Danio rerio: one gene and its partners. The protein of the gene in region 2 interacts with the protein of the main gene of each other region in a pairwise test. Links are inferred from orthologs where the notes say so. Each region holds a gene or a part of one and is shown on either strand. Other genes may lie near its edges.

Region 1 (3,655 bases), on a different chromosome or scaffold from region 2:
TGTTTCAATTCATTTTTTTTCCCAAGAAAAATATACAAATTATAACTTTTGTTTGTGCCTGTTCACTATGCTACTCAACTGTGCAGTGATGATGTGTTCTGCCCCGTGGAAAATAAGGATTTAATTAATGCTCCACTGTAATTGTTGTATCACAAAGCTCTGTCATATAATTGCAAATTTTATATTATGTCATTATTTTAAGCATCTGATTTTTCCTCTGTGCTGATGTGCTTTCATTTTCTCCATGTTTGTTTTATAAGCAACCCATGGCTGGAAAATATACATTTCGATTTAAATGAAAATATTTTAATATTAAAAAGGAAATATACGTTTGATCGTATCAATGTCATAACAAATTACCTTAAATAATGTAGCCTAATTGTCAGCAAGCATCAGTGTTTACTGAGGTTGAAATAAGATTAAAAAAAAATCAAAATTGAGATAGGAAATATTGTTATAGCAACACTTTGATAGCTTATGAAGCTCGTAGACGTCACGGGATGACTGATCGTGAAGGAACCTACGACAAGTCAAGATTTTATCTAGACAAAAATGCATAATCTGACATAGTGACTTTCGTAACCGACAATAAAAATCGTGTGATCTGACTGGGGCTTTACTCTCACTTTGTGGCAAAAAAATCTTAAATCGAACTCCAATTTTTAAATTCACAGTTAAGTACGAGAATGATGATTGTTTACTTCCAAGAAATTACAATAATAAATAATTCAATTTCTATATGCACAAATGCTGTATTACACTTTTATTATTTTGATGTTTGATAAATACGCAAAACTGACGTGTTGCTTACCTTGAAAGGTTGACTAATACCCACAATACACTGCAGGTTGCTGCTGTAATAACACAGCACACACTCGCCCCCAAGAACTGGAATTTCATCTTTGTTCATATAAACCTGTAAAAATGACAATGCAATATATGAATCGACTCTGTTGATTATATTAAAAAACACAGACAGTAAATTTTGCAAACCTGAAAGAGCTCCTCATTGAAAGACACCTGGTCATCTTTTACCCATGCATACGTGATGTAGTCGGAAACACTCTTAAACCCAACCTGTGAGGTGACAAACGGGTCTGTATTACAAAAATCCTGGATAAAGCTCATTTCACAAGAGCAGCAGTCAGGTTCAGATTTGCGTTTTCACAATATATATATATATTTTTTTTACAGAAAATGATGAAACTTTAAAAGCAGACTTGTTGTGAGTTCTGCCAGTGGTTGTTAATCAATTGAATACACTTTTGTTGAACTTGTGAAGGCACAATATGTAATTAAGACCACAACTCCCATGATTCCACACTCACAGCAACATCAAACTACATTTTTGTTTGTTGTGAATGAGCTCTCTAGCAGCTAAAATGACATACTGTGCCTTTAATTATACTTTTTATAACAATGTGTTTTAATAGCAATTTATGCAGAAAAACTCAATTACAGTACAGTAATTACTGTAACTCAATTATGCTGTACAGATGCTCTACCGATCAAAGAATAATAGCAAACAAAGCCTGCCAAAAGACATCTTTAGCTCAGCCCACTGCATTAAGTGAATGCTGCATATGCATATTACATAAGAATATTTTTACAATAAACTTGAAATACGTTTTATACTTATACAATAATCCACATTCAATGATTAGTTTTATGTTTCTCAGTCATTTTTAATTCAAATGTATCATCTGCAATGCTTTGTAGGATTGTATTTTTTCCCCCATTTTAAGAGTTCACACTTAGCTGATGATCCATCAAAGCTTGTTTGGCATGCTTTCCCGGGAGAGAGCCCCGAACTCAAGGGATCCTCGAGCCCGGGGCTTCCCCCCATTCGCAGAGCTAGAGGGGAGCCTGAGCTCGGTGGATCTCAGAACTCCCCGGCTGCGATAGCTAAGGGAATACTTGAGAAGGGGGGCTAAAAGAGTGCTTGATTCTTCAGCATGATGTATATCTTTAGACGGTGGGAGGAAACCGGAGAACCCGGGAAAAACCCACGGGAACACGGGGAGAACATACAAACTCCTCATAGAAGCGCCCACCGGCTAGGCGAAATTAGGCCGGTAGTGTTCTTGCTGTGGGGCTTTCAGTGCTAACCACTGGGCCGCCGTGCCACCCGATCAATGGTAAAGGAGGAGATTTGGGGAGGAAGGGGGGTTTCTTCCAAACGAAGATAAAGTGGACTGAAAACTGTGGTTCTTATAGTAGCTTAGGGCTCATATGATTGGAAGATAATGATTAGCTAATACGAGACCGGCCGTGATAAATCATAAGCACGTGATCCTCTCGAAATAAGTTTATAAACAAACTTCCCTTAAACCATTATGTACACATTATTGTACCTTCATATTTTTGTTTGTTTTCTATATACTTTTTTGCTTGAATTACAACACCCAATGTTTCGATTTGATCTCGGCTGGTTGGTTTGGATTATGGTTTACTGGCCTTATTCTTTATAGATGAGCGGGGGCAGCCATTGGAATCTTTTTGGCTCGACACTTGCAGTCTCATTCACTAGCATTGGTTTTTACATGTTAAAAAGAGCTTGTTATGCTGCTTAATGTTGCAAACTAAGATTTTCTTATTATGTTCTTCTTCTTTTTATGTATAGTCATAAAAACACTTGTTTGTAAAACAAGCCGTTTATTATGCCTAGTCATTTCCACTAAATGTTACTGAATCAGAGTTCTGAAACAATTGCAAAAACGGGCGCACTGCATTGCAGAACAAGGTCAATAACACTTTAATAAAAAACCTTTTAAAATCTCTAAAGGAAAAACGAATAGGAAAAACGAATTGTTTTTGCAGTTGCTGAGACTTATTTCAGTGGCTGTGTCTGAAATTGCATACTTTGCTACTAAATAGTACGCTAAAAACACTATGCGAGCCGAGTTGTATATTAAAATTCATAATATTCAAAAAACAGTAGGCGAGAAGTGCGTGGATGATCTACTACTATGGGCACGATTCTGAAGTGTGCATCCAATGGACAGTATGCTATCCCATGATAAAATGTGAGAGAATTCATGAATAAGAGTAAAGCCGCGCAACTGGGTAGGTCACATGATAAAGACAAATGGAAGTATGTCAGAATTCAATTCATCCTCACATTCATACTATATAGAAAGTACTTTTCTAGCAGTCGTGTAGTAAATTCAAATGTAGTACCTACCCGAGTAGTAGGTGATTTCGGATGCAAGCTGATACAAATGTACTTTTAACTGAAACTGATTATTGAGTAGGGGCGGAGCTCAGGTTAAATGGGGTGTGGTTTTAAATATGACCCATTTCACAAGATTGTTAAGATGTGCATAATAGTCATCAGCATCTTAAACCCTAGAAAGTTTTTAATATTTAGATTTTTTTTAAACGCATGTATGTTTATATGTCATTATGTATGTATTATAGTACCTTTGCATTAAATTACCGCTTATGCGAAGCATTACTAATGCAGTGTCTTGACAGGACAGTAAATTTAATGTTGCAATTATCAGTCTCACACATTTTTTTCCTTATTCTGAAAGTCTTGATAAGACTATCGTTATTTTTTTTTTCATTTTTTCATTTTCAAGAAAAAATTTACTAGTTGTACTCTCCAATTTACTGAGCTCAGTAAAGTTTACCCAACTATGGCGTCATCCAC
Region 2 (3,655 bases):
AACTGCACTATTTTGTATTATCATCATTTTACTTTTTTCTTAAAATGGATAGATCACTAAAAATGAAAATGACCACATTATTGACTTCCTAATGTGGTTTAAAACAGAGTTTCCTCTGTTGAACACAACAGAAGATCTTTTGGAGAATGCTGGTTGTTGGCACCCTTCACTCTTTTAAATTTATGAATGGTGTTCGGGGCCTCTCTGTGTGTGTGTGTGTGTGTGTGTGTGTCACACAGAAATACACACACAGTATTTCTGACGGCAGACACGTGAACTAGCAGAACGTTTTTCTCGTATTTCTGACGCGCTTGAACCACATGTGACAAATTATAACGGCTTTAACAGACACATTTCTAAGTTGTGTGTCACAAAAACAGTTATCCATTAAAAACGTCATTGAAACTCATTTTCGGAGCGCAAATTACCAGTTGTACTCGCTGTAAGCGGAAGTTTTTAGCATTTTACCGGAAGACGCTGGTCGCTATGGCGCCCTCCATGCAGCAGCCATGAAACTATATGAAACATTAACTATAGTTAAGATTATATTTGCATACGAGATACAATAAAATGTATCAAATGAGTATCAGATGTCTTTTTGCATATCGAATTTCAAAAAACTTAAATTTACTTAATTACTCAATACTTTATCATGCATGCATTGATTGTGTAAATAAAGGCTGAGGCTAAGGATCCTTGGTAAAAAAACAGCATTGGGTAAGTTACTTAAAGGAAAAAAAAAAATTACAGCTACCAGCATTCTTCAAAATATACATTACATTTCTTTGTGTTCAAACAGAAGAAACAAATAGTTTTGAAACAAGTAAATGGTGAGTAAAATGACAGAAGTATTATTTTTTGGGTGAACTAACCCTTTTAGAGGCAACACATTTTTACACTTATTTACATTTACCTCACCATCATGCCAATCATCATGAAACCAGCGATATATAGATGCAGAGAGACTCTTGTTTAGGCTAGCGTAGTGTCTTAAGATTATTTTCTTTTTAACAAACAAGCAAGCAGGGCAAACGAGGATAAAATATAAATAGGATTTAAAACAAATGGAAAATGACTTCAGCTCACTTGAATGTTTCCCCCAATTGGTACAGGGAGATTTAATAAATCCTGTTTGCAGGGAGGGCAAGAGGCAGCACATATTTCTGGATAGAAATTGTGAATTTCCATGAGCCAAGTACAATGACCTCTTTGTTGCGCAGCCTAGTGTGTTTGCACGTGTCTAGCTTTGATAAGAGGTCAATGACTTTTCTACAGTTTGCACAGTTGTGTCAGATTCATAAATAATTACATATTCTGCTAGCTTAAAATCTAATAATTATAAATAAACAATAATAATTATTTTTTTGCAATGCAACAAGCTGGACATAAGCAATGCATTGCTGTAACAGACTTGCATTGTTTTTACGAAACAGCATACCTATCAGGTAGGTGAGGAAGAGGTTATGAACTTGTTGTCCAATCCAGGCCACAGCCACAAGACTGCTGATCACAGAGAGGAAATACTACAGAGAAGTAAAACAAGTGTTACATGGAGGAAGACCAAACTTTCACAATGACATCAAGTTCTCAGTTGCCTACTTCTGTCATCCAGCTCATAAAAGTGTGTATTATCATAAAGTTAAGTCTTTTCATAAAGTCAAGTGATAAATTCACATTCACAAGCCAAGTCAAGCTCTTAGCATAGCAATTAACAGCATAAAACCCCAAAGAGAGGTACTTTCTGGAAGTCTCATTTAATAAAAGTTATATTGATTCGTACACAAAGAGAGTAAATGCAGCATTACGGTAACATTTTACAGTAACAAAAAAAACATTTCATTTGACATTTTAAAATGATCTGTGTGATAAAGCTGAATCCTCATTTACTACACCACACCTGGAAACAGATACACGAGTCTTTAGTAAACAAACTTCAAAAGAACAGCCTTCATTTGAAACAATGGTTTTGTAATATTAGAAAATGCATTTTCACTTTTGATCACCATTAACTTTAAATCTAAAAAATCTTTTGTTCATTTGCTTGCTTGTGAATGTTTTAAGAATATATAAGAGATAATGAGGGCTGCTGCTTACACATCTGCTCTCATTAATACCATTTAATCTATGTATATTGTGACATCAACAATGACAAAGCCCTTAAATATGTTCTCTTAAGGGCAAAATTATTAATTATGTATAAGCTATGAATTAGGTCTGCGTTACATTTGTTTATTTCAACTGCTGAGCAACAGTGATAAAACAGATTCAGTGGTGTAAAAAATGCAGCTCGCAGGGAGTGGTATTAGTCACTAGTGAGTTCTTTAGACATAAAACAATGAAGGTGTTTAACAAGTCAAAGCAGAATACCATTTTTGGCTTTTCTTCCTTCAGGGCAAACAGACGTTTCCACCAGCCGAGCACACGGCGCTGAGTCTTCACAAGGTTTCCACAGATCTCATGAAAACGCTGCTGCTGTTCTGTGGTCCTGTGCAGGAACAAAAAAATAGATAATTAGACTCCTCAAAACCCTCCCCAAACTAGAACTAATTAATTACAATATCTAAAATACATTTAACCACCACAATAGCAAGTAATAAATGTTTTGCGAAATTAAAAGTTTATTTTTTTAGATGTTAGTATCCGTATGTTAGCTTTAAGAATATCTATAAGCTAATGTGCTCCAAAACAGTGACAAAGTTTACATTTAGAAGTTATGCCCAGATTTCCAAACTTGACTACTGCATACTTCAGGTTTTACATCAAATCTTTTGTCCAGTCAAATGCTCTCCAGTATCTGACATGACCCACCCCCTTCTCGACTCATTTGATGAGGTTGAGCTCAACCGCTTTCACTGGCAGAACAAAATGAAACACTATTGGTTGTTTTGTTTTGTTTTTCAAGGGAAAGAGCTACTATTTCAAACCCTGTCTTCATGTTTCAGTTGTGATTGCACCAAACACTGAATTAAAAAATGCACATTTCAAAGCATTTCATTGCATCTTAAACAACAAGACATTTCAATTTTTGTTGTTGGGGGTTGGGAGAAATTGTTTCTTCATAGAACACATAGTAGGGGAAAAATGGTTTCCAACAACATGTAAAATGTCCGAACTCTCAGTACTCATAAAAGATTCAACAAAAAGCACAGAGAAGACCCATTACTTCCACTGAGATTCTGCAGTGCTCATCTGATGGACGCTTCATTATGCCACGAGGCCAAGGGTAAGAGTTTATGAATGGCAGTTAAGTGAAACAATGGTTGCTGGTAAATCATGTGACAGTAACAAGATATCAAACAGTGGATCCAAATTCCATTCACGCTACAAACATTCCAACTATACATCACTTTTTTAAGTAAATAGTTTTTCAAAATAAACACCTATTCAGCAAGGTATATGCTTTTTAAACAATAACTATTTTTTGTATGTTGTTAAAATGTAGCTCATTCAATAATAACGCAGTTTATAAAGAATAATAACAATATACTGCAAAATGAGTGGCATACAAGATAATATCAGCTTGCGCAATGTTGTGACAATATTGCATGCAAGGTTTCTGCAGGTTTCATAAGGGTACATTTAAATGTGGTGATACATGGTGGAGCTGAGGGAGGAATGTTGCTTGGACACTTTCCCCATTGAGAATGTGCAACAA
Region 3 (4,443 bases), on a different chromosome or scaffold from region 2:
GGTAGTCCTACCTTAAACAGTACAAACTATCTTTTTAAAAAGGCATAACAACAGTGACAGAGGTTGTATTTTTATATCTAAAAGCATAATGTGCGTTGACTCCATTTTATTGTCCAAAAATAATCACTCTGATTCACATTGCACACATTGCTCTTCTTCCATGTTCTCTTCACACAGTGAATCAAAGCGTTTGTGTCCAGAACTGAAACTGTGAATGGCCTCGGATACAGTGTAGCGAGTCCTGCCTTCAGCACAGGCCTCAATTTTTTTCAGACTTAGTTGGGACTGTAGGAAGAGGTGCAAGCAACTGTCTGACAGCAGAACCGCACTGTGAACCACCCTGGAAGAAGTAAACATTTTACTGATTAATCAAACCATAACCATTTCAGTTACTTTAGTTATTAGTGGATTGTTAAATAGACTTGTAAAATCTCATTTGTACCAAAAAGTTTGATTTTTATTTATTCATTCTTTTATCAGAAAAGTCTTACAAGATCATATGGAAAAACAAGCAAATGCTCAAGACATCAAAAGTGATTGTGAGCAGGGGCAGATTTAACCAATAAGCAAAGTAAGCAGCCACTTAGGGCCTCAGGAAATTTGAGGGGACCAACAAATACCAAGAAGTATAAATTATACAAATAGCATTGTTTTCTATCATATTTTGTATTGTGAGGGTCTTAGAATTTACATTTTACCATAATTATACAATCTATGCAAATTTGTCCCAATCATGGAGCAGTCCAGCAGTCAAGTCAGGTAGAGATTCAATTGTTTAAAAAATATTTATTATTTTCAATTTATTCATTTATTTTTTTTAGATGTGAGTTCACGTAAACAACACAAATCACTTAAAATGTAGAGATTTCATTGAGATAAAACATGAAAAAGGAGATTCCGTGATATAAAAAACCCTGCAAAATAAGTGAAGTTTATTTATAAACAAATTTCGAGAGGATCACGTGTTTATGATTGAACACGGCTGGTTCTGCTTTAACAATGTTTGATCCACCAATCAAACAAATCCTAACCCACTCTAAAGAGACAGGGTTTCTCACTACAGTCATCTTCGATTTGAAGAATCCCCCATTCCATCCCCACTCCTCCACCTTTCTCTTCATAAGGTGGCACGGTGGCCCAGTGATTAACACTGTTGCCTCACAGGAAGAAAGTCACCGGTTCTAGTTCTTTAACAGGCTGGCTGTCGTTTCTGTGTGAAGTTAGCTTGTTCTTTCCGTGCTTGCGTGGGTTGCCCCCGGGTTCTCTGGTTTCCTACAACATTCCAAAAACATGCACTACAAGTTCATTGATCAATCTAAATTTAGCACTACAGTCAAACTCCCATGCAGTAGCATATCTCTCCATAGCAATCCTTTTCTGTCATCAAGGGGGGAGTTCTCCAGAGATCAGCTACCTGAGCTCAGAGCTCCCCTTGCGCCCTGCAAACAGGAGGGAGCCCAGGGCTCAAGGACCTTTTGAGCTCAGGGCTCTTTATTGGGTAAGCATGCCAAACTTGTTTATAATCAATCATCAGCTAAGTGTGAATTCTTGAAATAAATAAAAATGAATAAAACTAAAAAGGGTGCATTTTAGGACTGTTGGTTCCATGGCTGGAACTGCTAAGGGCCCCAAAATCACTTAATCCACCCTTGATTGTGAGTCATGGTTTTGTTTTTATTTAATGTTTTGTGTGTGTGTGTGTGTGTGTGTGTGTGTGTGTGTGTGTGTGGTTATTCAGACACTTACGCTTCTAGGAATTTCCTTAACCCCTCCATACGGGCTCCAATTTCTTTTGCATTGTTGAGACTGAAGAAGGGGTTTTTTGGAGGAAGTTTAGGTATATGTGTTCTGCAATTCAAATACAAAAGGTTAAGTTTGAGTCAATGGAAATTGCCCAATGACAGAAATTTTAAAATGTCTACAGTACAGCTGCTTAACAATTAGCAGTGTTGATATTGTTAGCCAAAACTATTGAATATATGTTTGAGGATTATACTAAAAATTAAATAAAACAAATATAAAAATATTAGATGGAAAACCTAAATGTGCAAATCCTTACAAACTAACAAAAGTGTTGGCAAGTAATTGAAATAGACTAAGTAAACATAATGTTAAATATTAAAATAGTAATAAAATAACTCCGTAAAATTATTACTTGATTAAAAGTATCTATTATTTTTTTTAAAAAACTACATTGGAAATGTAATTCAACTATAACCAATGACTTCCACACACAAGGTCTGGGGATTTGTCTGTATTAATTTAATTTAAAAAAATCTATTAAATCATTAATATATAAAAATTATATATATATATAACATTTATTATAATTGATTTTTTTTCAAATTCATACATTCTCAATATATTCTTTCAAATTAAAAGTATAATAATATTAATAAAATAAGTATGCAGATACTCTCACATGTATTGAAGTCTTGCCTACATATGAATAACCATTAGTAATAAAAGATATAAATAGCAAGAGCAGATGCAACGGCTACATACATGAGCAAGGCATTTTCCTGTAGCTTTTTTCTTAACCACACAAACTCGCTGAATCTCCGCCGCACACAGGAGCTCTTCTTAGTGAACGCCAAGCTGTTTGTCTAAGCAAATACAAAATACAAATAACAACCAGGAAGCATCTGACTTTTGTTTTAACCATTTGCATACGACTGCACTTACATGTATACAAACTTCATAATCCATGAAGGCATGCCAGAAATCTTCCTTCTGGATGCGAGGATCCCTCACCCAAACGCCAGTGAATTCCTGCATAAGTCCAAGAATTATGGAAAAGAGCAAACGAATACACTCACTCACTAACTTTTATTGGACAGTGACACACAACAGCAAGCTTTGAGATAAAAAATGGGGAAGAATAAAGTAGGAAGTATTTTCATGAGACATTGGTCTTGTTGACCAACTGGGGCTGATTCATGATAACTGTAGACTTGGGAAAAACATCACAGCTCATTTTGTGCCTGTGACTGACAGCGGTGCTTCATTTTTACCAGCCACTAGAGACACAGCAGACTAGCTGCACCATAAAAATAAAAGGAGCAGGAAAAAGCAGCTGGAAAAAATGGGTCTCATAATCATAATGCCTGCGTGTTTAAAACAACCATAGCAGTACTTAAAGAGTTATTCATGTACCTGTAGTGGTTTCAAACCTCTTAAAATAAAAACAAAATGGCTATTATAAACTATATTTATGAGCATTATGATTTTTAAAAGAACAATCTACTAGGAACTGACTTTATTTTATAATATACCAACGATAATTAGAGTTATTTGATTTTAAAACACTTTTACTGATGACTGCAAATTTTCATGTTAATAAGAACGATCACAACACTTCTGAGGTAAGTCTATGTTTATTTAAAGCACCTAGAGATTTAATGTTACAGTGATCTTTACAGAAAAAAGGAACTTAGAAAAGTGAAACAGCAAGACAAAGGACTTCAGCAAAACCTCAGCCTACAGTAAATGGCCTAATCATACTGCTGTTATGAAAGTGAAACTGACCAAAAATAAAAATGTCACAAATAAAGTGTGATTGTACAGGCTACATTCTAGAATTAGTTTTGTGCAAATCTACCGATTTATGAGTCACAATACTCGCTCACAGATCAAAGGATTTATCACAGTATAACTTTTAAAATGGCCTGTTTACACCAAGAACAAAACTATAATGATGCACATAAATGCTGGTTCAGGAAATATTTTGCCCATAAGGATTTGTTAAAAGGCTTTAAAGCATTAGAAGACACGAAACGCACCAACCAGATATGAGGTGAATTACAATATTTAAAACTTTGATTTGAAGCAAAAAATTTCCATGAAAATTGGAAAGTGTGGATTCAAAAAAGAAAAGTCACAATACCATGAAGTATTGCAAATGGCTCAACTGAAGAAATGCAAAGGACAAGGACATTTAAATTTTTGGTTTTAAATATATTCAGAGAGAAACTCACAAAAATGTAATCCACAGTGCTTTATGAGTGAGCAGGGCTAAAGATTTAACATCAAATCTTTGATTTGTGACATTTTCTGCACAGTGTTATGAGTATCCGTCTGTTATTACAAAAAAAGCTAAACGGTGTAATCTATTTTAATGATCTATGCTAAGCTAAGCTAAGCTAAAAGTGCTTCCATGAGGCTATTTTCAAAAAACTTGAAGTGTTCCTTTAAAGCAGATGCTTAGCTGTTTATTGTTACAATACAGTTTTAAAAACTATTCCAAAAACATAATCTGTTAAGTTATTATTAAAAAACAAAAAACATCTTTTGTTTGCAGAATCTGACTGCTAAGTTATATTATTACATGGCTCTCCTAATCTCCGGGTCTAATAAGAGCATTTTTAGCATTGCTTAGCTTAGATCATAGAGTCAGATTAGGCAGCTCACTCAAATGTTTTTAGATTTTAGCAAAATAGCAAC

Evidence for each region.
Region 1: the proteins of arl6ip1 (region 2) and inpp5ka interact in binary tests that used the Homo sapiens proteins (3 or more experiments, as listed by UniProt). The link is inferred for Danio rerio from reciprocal best matches to the Homo sapiens genes ARL6IP1 and INPP5K.
Region 3: the proteins of arl6ip1 (region 2) and snx10b interact in binary tests that used the Homo sapiens proteins (3 or more experiments, as listed by UniProt). The two-hybrid records come from large-scale screens. The link is inferred for Danio rerio from reciprocal best matches to the Homo sapiens genes ARL6IP1 and SNX10.

What each region holds. Positions count from the first base shown.
Region 1 is NC_133190.1:36,476,801-36,480,455, reverse strand, and holds part of inpp5ka (inositol polyphosphate 5-phosphatase Ka), read right to left. Parts: intron 1,078-3,655; coding exon 994-1,077; intron 917-993; coding exon 812-916; intron 1-811. UniProt on the Homo sapiens protein: Inositol 5-phosphatase which acts on inositol 1,4,5-trisphosphate, inositol 1,3,4,5-tetrakisphosphate, phosphatidylinositol 4,5-bisphosphate and phosphatidylinositol 3,4,5-trisphosphate.
Region 2 is NC_133178.1:29,894,356-29,898,010, forward strand, and holds part of arl6ip1 (ADP-ribosylation factor-like protein 6-interacting protein 1), read right to left. Parts: intron 2,486-3,655; coding exon 2,368-2,485; intron 1,524-2,367; coding exon 1,439-1,523; intron 1-1,438. UniProt on the Homo sapiens protein: Positively regulates SLC1A1/EAAC1-mediated glutamate transport by increasing its affinity for glutamate in a PKC activity-dependent manner.
Region 3 is NC_133191.1:22,386,722-22,391,164, forward strand, and holds the start of snx10b (sorting nexin-10B), read right to left. Parts: upstream 2,858-4,443; 5' UTR 2,779-2,857; coding exon 2,686-2,778; intron 2,607-2,685; coding exon 2,506-2,606; intron 1,849-2,505; coding exon 1,747-1,848; intron 1,185-1,746; exon of another isoform or gene 638-1,184; intron 341-637; coding exon 124-340; 3' UTR 1-123. UniProt on the Homo sapiens protein: Probable phosphoinositide-binding protein involved in protein sorting and membrane trafficking in endosomes. Plays a role in cilium biogenesis through regulation of the transport and the localization of proteins to the cilium.